Schizosaccharomyces pombe: one gene and its partner. The protein of the gene in region 1 interacts with the protein of each later gene in a pairwise test. Each region holds a gene or a part of one and is shown on either strand. Other genes may lie near its edges.

What was found.
Region 2: the proteins of get2 (region 1) and kms1 interact in binary tests that used the Schizosaccharomyces pombe proteins (3 or more experiments, as listed by UniProt).

What each region holds. Positions count from the first base shown.
Region 1 is NC_003421.2:187,237-190,948, reverse strand, and holds get2 (GET complex subunit Get2), read right to left. Parts: upstream 1,836-3,712; 5' UTR 1,691-1,835; coding exon 1,166-1,690; intron 1,106-1,165; coding exon 857-1,105; 3' UTR 548-856; downstream 1-547. Other genes in the region: kinetochore protein fta7, read right to left, coding at 104-219; vacuolar H+-ATPase assembly protein Vma21, read right to left, coding at 2,357-2,481, 2,535-2,626, 2,800-2,849.
Region 2 is NC_003424.3:3,460,937-3,465,986, reverse strand, and holds kms1 (protein Kms1), read right to left. Parts: upstream 3,090-5,050; 5' UTR 2,923-3,089; coding exon 2,860-2,922; exon of another isoform or gene 2,729-2,859; coding exon 2,289-2,728; exon of another isoform or gene 2,243-2,288; coding exon 922-2,242; 3' UTR 679-921; downstream 1-678. Other genes in the region: sei1 (seipin), read left to right, coding at 1-445, 543-678. UniProt on the Schizosaccharomyces pombe protein: Has a role in karyogamy, recombination and segregation during meiosis. Although it has been shown to associate with the spindle pole body it is unlikely to be involved in its formation or maintenance.

The DNA of each region.
Region 1 (3,712 bases):
CCAGGTAAACATCAACAGCAAACTTTGATTTCCCTTTCAGTACACAAGTAAGCGCTAAAAAGCACAAGCACTTTTAGCAATAACATGATTCTCAATTACTTACCTTGAACACGTCCTAAAAATAATTATTATTTCTTGGCGCTGCTTATCCTCTAATGGACGCCATCTTTTTTGAATTTGGTCTCGACGCACCGCGCGAACGCGCCTTTTCATTTCCATTGCATATATTTATAAAAATGGTGCTACCACTTCAATTTTCTTTTAAGCAATCTGGAACTTAAATAGCAAAATATGTACGTATGGTTTTATATGAAAAATTTCTCTATAACAAGAATTCGCCGTTTCAACGTTTGCATGCTGTTGTAGCGCTTCGGACGAAGTTGTTTTACATATATACAGTCAACCAAGCCAATTCTCAATTACTTATTTTATTTCAATAATAAGTTGATAAAAGATTTTAAAAATCATAGTTATAATGTTTTCACAGCTATCCCAGAAATTACTTTAAGTAGTCTGTTTTTAATTAATACTACAATTACAATAAACAGAGCTTTTTAAATCATATACTATTGCTACCATTGAATTAAAAGAGAAAATAAATAAAACGTACCGACAATCGTAAATATGGCATGTGTTGCAAAGCAGTTCAAATGAAGTGCAGTATGTTTTAGAATATAAATCGTTTAGATGTTGAAAAGATAATATAAAATTGAATTCCTAAGGGTTTGAAAAGTCTTTCTCGCTTAATCAGTTAGTTTATTTCATCTAAACAAAAATTGAATGCTAATTAATCGATCACCAATTTGCGAAGCAAAACCAAGATTCATAAATAGTAAATGCTGAAAATTAACAACTATTAATACACCAACGACGGATAAAAATAGCAACATAAACCTAACGCAAATATTGTCATACACGCATCTGTAATCAATTGTGTGAAATACGGAACATAACTTGTTGTATGACGGATCATTGCTCCATAGGGAGGGGGAAGCTGAGAGGCCAGAGATGCTAGAAGAGAATAAGAAGGTCCATTATTACGGTCCAAAACAAATTGAATAGAGAACAAGCAAGCTTCGACAGTAAATGTCCACGGAAGTAATGGCTGAAATAAATATATTAGTATGCAAAAAAACAATTTCAAAAAAGGAAGATGAGGACTTACCAAATGTTTAAAATAACAAACAATCACTACTATAGAAATTGCCAAAAGATGAGCATATTTCTCAACTAAGTTTTTTAAAGGAGCTGTAGCTTGAGGAATTTGTTCGTTTTCACCTTGAAAATTTGTATCAGATCCCTCCTTTGCGGATTGTAACATAGCTTGAAAAAAATTTGCAAAATCAGGGTTTTGATTAAACATGTTTTCAGGTGGTACATTATATGGAGAATCACACTGAAGTTTAAAAGGCGAACTTTCCAAATTATGGTAATCTTGGGAAGGAAGATATTCCACTTGATCAGCATTGAAGGTATCATCTCTCTTTTCCATGAATCCTGAAGACATTGGCGTTACTGGTGTTGCAGTTTCAGAATGTACAGCTTCCTCGGAAGCTGTAGCTCGAACATCGGATTGACTGTCATCTGAATTCTGTCCCAAAATTTGATTGATTCTAGATGCACCTCCTTGTTTGATTTTATTCAGTCGACGTTCACGTCTAAGTCGAGCTTGTTCACTGGCAGTCGACATGTTCGAAGTCTTTGAATCAGCAGAAAACAGAATAAAATAAATAATTAACACCAAACTTTTTTACAGATATATATTTTTATCAATATTATATTGGGAAAAAATCAATAATGCTCACTTGAACAACTTTCCAATATACGAGGGGTTTGGGGTGAGAGAAAATAGTGATGCATAAGTGTTAGAAGAATACTGAATTCCTACAGCTGTTATGTTTGATAAGAATCATACATGTTAGCCTTATATTATAAAAAGGAAAATTTAATTATAAAATTGGTTGAAATTGCCATATCAATTGCATTTTGCTAATTCGTGTTTTTTGGGAAACTACAAAAAACTAAAGAACAGACACATATTTTCATTACAGACTAGCGAAAAATTAAACAAAAAAATTTCCGTTCATTAATTCAGATACAAAAAGGAGTAGTATCACCAGCAACAGCTTTGTGGTAGCACCTTATTCAATAGACATACATGCAAAATCCAGTAGATTATAGGATAGTCCCAGCTAAAGTCTTTCATTTTGCGATACTTTTAACGAAAAAAAATAAAGACATCGAATGATTCACCTAAATACGTTGGCAGAAGGAAAATCCGCTTCAAAATTTGATTTAGAATTGAAATGCAAAAGTCATAACTCAAAATAGTAGTAAAATGGTTACTGAAAATTTATTATTCCCTTTTTATATCCTTCTTGGGAGTCCCGGAGTCTTCGCGAAAGGCTGCGACTATATACAAGGCCAAGATAATATTGACCATTACAGCTGCAGATAATCCTGCGTACAATGTTTGATATCCTAAAACAAAATTTATCAGTAAAAATCAAAATTATTCAACAATTAGTATATACCTTTGAATAAAGTCTTCAACGTCCAAAAATAAGTTATAAGTGGTAATGTAAATAATGCGACACTAAAACCCACAAACTTAAGCAGAACATTACTATTACGAAAGTTAGTAAGTTTTCATTTCCAACATATTTAGTTAAGAATATAAAAGGAATAAACAATATAAGAGACCTAAGATTATAGACTGTTGTGGAAGGTTGTATGGAATTTCTTAAAACCAATTCGCAGTCCGGCGTAAAGAAATAAACTAATAATTAATAAACTTACGTAGGTATAGAGTTATTATTTGTATCTGAAACTTGGGATTTCCTTTCCATTTTAAATCACGAATGCAAGTTGTTGATGGTGGTGGAGACCTAATTTATTGGGACCTTGCTTTATAAGAGGTCAAAGTTTTGTCAACATGAAAAGTAGACAATTGATATTCGTATGTTGAAAGTCCCTGAAATTATTTGTCATCTTATTAAAATTTATTATCTTTGTTTATAACATACGGTAGACTTATACGTGCGACCTGCTTAATTTGTGTTTACATATAATAAAATACCTGGGCGACAAAGTCTCCAAATTCATAGTTCCTTGTTGAAATATTAAATTAATTAAATTAAATCGAGTAACAAATGTATGTTAGGGCTTGGTCGATGATCATAAATAAAACTGCAATTTACAAACTCACATTGAATTGTTTAGCAGGCAAGGGTGTATCAAACAGTGGTGATCAAAAAAGCAATACTCAATTACTCCTCTGTTATAACAAGTGATTTCACACCATCCATCTTCACTTGATACAAGCATTGCTATGTTGACGTTTTCATCAGCGGACGAGCGGTATAAAAAAAAGAGCAAATAGATTACTCAATGGGTATATTTTATGCATTAAAATTTACCATTTTAGCTTGAAATCAAACTGTTGAAGTAGATTTTTGAGGTAATAAAAAGCATTTAATATAACGATAAGATCAAGCCTAGGTTATGTAAGCTACGCAGTTTGGTATCTGATTTAAGGATACGTAGAACTGCGGTGAGTTTTCCTTGTGGTCTATTATATTACAATACACAGGTTGTATAAGTAGCAACTGAGTATAGGTATTGTATTAACTGGGTTATAATGTTACCTATCACTAATATAGCTCATAACTGAACTGAGGAACGAGGTTCAGTTGTAACGCTATTTATAATA
Region 2 (5,050 bases), on another chromosome or scaffold:
CTGCAGAGGTCAGATTGGACCATTTCTCAATTGATCCTAGGTTACCTGGCACATCTTTGCTTCAAATCAAAATGCCGCATTCTCCTCGAAATAGTGCTATGGGCAATTTTATGGTTTCTGTCGATTTTCAAGATAGAAATCAAAGATCTCTGAAGCAGGTTAAACGAACAGTCTTGCTTCCTCATAGGTCTCCTATTCACGAATACCTTAAGCTAATTGTATGTTCACCTCTTTACTTCATGGGGATTTTGGAAGAAACAGATATTGTCAATGTCCGTTTGTTCGAATCTGAAACATTTGCTAAAAGTTTTAATTCAATTACAACACTTTCCGTTAGATTTTCTGTCAAAAATACTCCAGCTCAAGCTATTGTCAAAATTTATTCTAAAGATATTGAATTTTACGAAGCGACTCTAGCTTTTGCATCAAAATTGCACGGCATGCGGTAAGTTTTACTTTTTGATTTACCTTCTTCATTTTTTTTACTTTACTCAATTTCTTTACCTGTTATACTTTTTCACAAACTAACTTGTCCTTACTAGCTGGTTCATGTATACGCATAAGGTTTCCGCATTTCTCGTTTTCACATCTTTATTTTGGTTTACGGGGATAACCTCAACGATAATTACCTATCTTATTGTCTCTTCCACATCTGAAACAAAAGCAACAAGACGTTGAATCTTCTCACATCTTCACTTGCATCTAAAATCATAATCGTCACAACCATAAAAATACATTATTATTAAATTAGAAAGTTCCATTATTGCTTTATCCGTTAGACCCATTATTCAGCTGCACCTTTATGTACAAAAAGTTGAAAAAGGGTAAAGCAATTTAAATCAGCACTGATTTTTTTTTTAGAAAAAAAAAATCTTTCGCTAGCATCTTCATTTTCGTCATTATTTATTAGTCGCCTAATTATCAAGAAGGCTGTACCAGTTCATACCGTCCATAAAGGAGTATAATTATATGTTCGCAAAATGTAAATACAACACGCAAAAAAGCTTGCAATAGCTCGGCGCACAATATGTAATCAAGTCCGTAAAAACAGGCAAAAAGAAAAAGGACGTAAAAAAGTCGCAAAATGTTGGATTTCATAACCGATAAAAGAAGCAAAGGTTGTCCTTTCGTTGCTAGAAAATGGGGGTTGTCTGCATTAACAGTATCTTGAGACGCCATAAAATCTTTAGAGGAGTTATTCATTGTTGTATTAGTTGCCATGAGTCCTGTTTCATCGTCACTAAAGCTCGAAAGAACTGTGCATTCGTGGCTTGATTCTTCATATGTTGGCATAGAGGAATCGTACCGACGACAAAAGTCGTTTAGGGTTGGAGACATTTTGGAAAGGCTTTGAATAATCCATTTTTGGATACCAATTTCCTCTGAAAGCATCAAAAATCCAGCAACCAATTCTTTGTTTCGCGAACTTTCAGCAGTAAGAGAGCTTTGCAATGATTGACTTATGTGTTTGCATTCTTCTATCGTTTTCTTTTGTTGTTTACATTTAAATTCCAATTCTCTTAATTCTTCACTTTCCCGCATTCCAACCGCAGGAATAGAAATGCAAACTGATGGTTGAGTGAAAGAAAGGCCAACCTCTTTGGAGTAAACCATTTCGTCAAGGTTAGAGGGTGATAAAAATTCATCTCCTTTTGGGTTATTAGACAAAGCAATTAAATGTTTTTCTCTAGTAAGATCATCTATGTGGTTGTTTAGCTGATTATTAGAATTTTTTAATTCATGGTTCTCTAAAGCAAGCCGACGAATAGTATTCTCATTTTCACTTGACCGAGATGCAGCCAAGCTTAATTCCTCAATTTTCTTAGTCTGATCTGTAAACTTACGCAAGAGAGTGGCATACCGAACTTGCAAGGCTGAAAGCTCTTTTTTTGTGGAGTAGAGGCCAGAGTTTGTCTGTATGAGTTCTGACTGAATTTTCTGAAAGTTTTTGTGAATGTTTAGATTTTGAGCCTTAAGAGTCTTAATTTGGTTATTTTGCGAATTATTGGCTACCTTAGATTCATTATATTTGGAATCTGCCATATTTAGTTGGTGGGTAAGTTCATTCACTTTTCCTTCTAAAATATCTACAGTACGAGATTTCTTTCTAGCTTGATCTCGAGCTTTATCTAACATATCCTGGAGTTCTGTGATTTGCTTGATTAGATCATGGTGCCCGTTGGAAAAATCAGGTTTATCCTTCCTAACAAGTGGCATCTCAGTATTTCTGGACGACGTATTTCTTCTTGTTAGAATTTTAATGACTTTTCTAAAAAAAAAATTCTTACCTATTTAGTGGTGTAGATTGGGCAAATGGAGTTCGAAGAATATTGACAAAATCACTGTCGGTAAATTGAGACATCGGCGGCAAGGACAGTCTCTTAGACATCATTTGAGAAGGGTTTAAGGATTCAGGAGAGGCATTAGAAGATGATTTTGAATGTGCAGAATTGACAGAGTGTTCATTTGCATCCTCTTTGATAGAATTTTTGGAATTCTGTTGCTCCATCGAAGGCTTTTCAGCTTGATTCGCAAAAGAGTCATCTTCGTTTTCAGTAAGTTTTTTATATACGTCTCGAAAATTATCCTTTGTAATAGAGAGATCTGCATTTTGCCGTACGAATTCGAGTGTACATTGTTTTTGGAATTCGCTCAAAAGAGGTGGTGCAGAAGCGGGATGTAAGAGTTGTAGGTCATTGATGATTGGCAAAAAGTTGGAAAGATGAACCTAAGAAAATTTTTTGTTAATAGTTTATCCTATTGGTAATTGGGTAAAGCGAGAAAAACCAGAGTCTTGAGAGTTTGTCTCTGACTCAATAAACAAGATCTACCTGCATAAGCAATCAATTTTTTTCATACTTTTCCTTCATGTTTAAAGTCATATGAATCGAAAATCAAGTCAAAATCGCGTTCATTTAGCATTTTGGAAAGGGAACTGGCAATTATAATTATACAGGAAACGAACCACAATTCTAGTGGGAATGGGATTCAGTTTTGAATTTTTTTGTTAGAATTTATCATAAAGCTGCGTGCATTTCATAACAGTTCACGAATTCACCGCATTTCTTAAGTGTTGTGAGTTGGGTTTCGTGCAAGGTCTATCCAAGGGTTTGGCAGTAGGGCTGTTGAGCAAGTGGTTTGAGAGACCAAAAAGAAGTACACAGAAAAAGACGGATTAAAATAAAACTTGAAAATAGATAAAAAGATGTTAGAAGAAATCATGTTTATGCTTGATTTAAGAGCAGCTAGAAAAGTAAGGCCACAACTTGGTCGTACTGTGCATACTTAAGTGATAATTCAAATGAAATCGCAAATTAAAAAAAAAAAAAAAAAAAATTATTTTTAGTGAAGTAGAAACTATTCGTATTTGTTTTATAGATCGATCGATTCCTCTGAGAACTTCAAGCGAATTTGCAGTAATTTAGAACGCCAGCATTTATAATTGCGGGTCAAACAACGATCGCCCAAGAATCTTTCATAGACTCCAAATAAGATTGGTTGATTACTTAACTTATATTTTGATCCTTGAATCGTTTTAGTCAATCAACGTCGTATATATTGTACTTTTTAAAAAATACAAGGTTTTGATCGTAAAAAAAGAAATGCATAGAAAAGGTCAGATTTTTTCATCCAAGAATGTGCAATAAATACAGAAATTACTTCTTTTTCTTTCAATTTAGCCAACTCTTTCGAAAACGTCTTCTATTTACATTTTCTATATAGCTACTACTCAGTCAAAACAGTTGGTTAGCATGTTACTTTATGAGAAGCGAGCGATGTGACGTCAAAGGTTTTTTGGCGAAATTAACACTGTCCATATGTATATGTGTTTGAGCGTGTAAAACCTGGTTTCTGCCATTTACATATTTTGAAACCTCTGTACGCTAGTTTAGTTATTTCTCGTATCATTTTATTTTTAACTGGTGCAAGAGACAAGAAAATTCATTTACTTTCGTGAAGATTTGAAAAATTCGTTTGTCAGCTTAGAATTCTTTGCTAGCAGCATTATTTGTACATTTTCAATTGGACCTCTCTTAGCTTTCAAATTTTATTAAATCTTCTTTGTTTTCTTTCTCTTTTGTACGAAGTGATCATCGAAAAGATAGAGAACATCGGGGTTTCCATTTATGGGCGATAATGTATTTTTAGAGCCTGATCCATGGGCATCTAGCAGTAATTGGGGTTCACCAGTGAAGCCTTTAAATTATAAAACAGCAATTGGTTAGTAAAAGTTTTGTTCTTCTGTTTTTTCCTTCTCAATTAATAGTTAATTTTACGGATCGATGCATTCTATCATTGATTTGTTTCTTTAGCTTGATTTTTTTTTTTTTCATCTTTCTTGCTTTTTTACTTACTTACTGTAATGATGCTAACCTTTTTCTTTTTCTTTTTTTTGTCTATAGGTAATTCATCCATTCCTTTGCAATATCGAAATTATTGGGACGTGTTTCAAGCAAACAATGTTCTCTTATTTCCAGAAGAAGAAAGTTATTCTGATATATTTCATGTTCCTCAAGATGTAATGAAAGAGTTCTTTACCTTGATTGAATCATCAAGCAATCAACCCTTACGGCAAATTCAGTTTTTCGTTTTGCTTGCCTTGGTTGCCTGTTATCAATTAGGTGTTCCTAGCACATTGGAACAGATTTTCAAGCAAAGAAATGGTAAGGCTTTTTTTTATCTTTGCTTTTTTTTGTCTTTTTGCTTACTTCCTCCTCCTTAGTCCTGCCCATTTTGCAGCGTTTTAATCCGGAACTTTTCAATCGTAGTTCTGATAATGAAACCCCTCTTTTTCCTAATAATTCTCCTCCTGCTTCAACAACCGCCTTGAATCTTTCATCCAACATTGTCCCTTCCATTAATGAATCAAAAATTTTAGAACAAGAGGATGACGACGTCTCCAATAAATCCCTCCCTCACGCTCAGCAAAGCATCATCCGTTCGTTTCCTGATATTCAAAAGCAGCCGAAAGGATTCTTTTCCTATCCTTCTTCAACTGTCAGCAGCATTGCACCTTCGACTTTAGAAGCAGGTAACTTACATTCGCAAC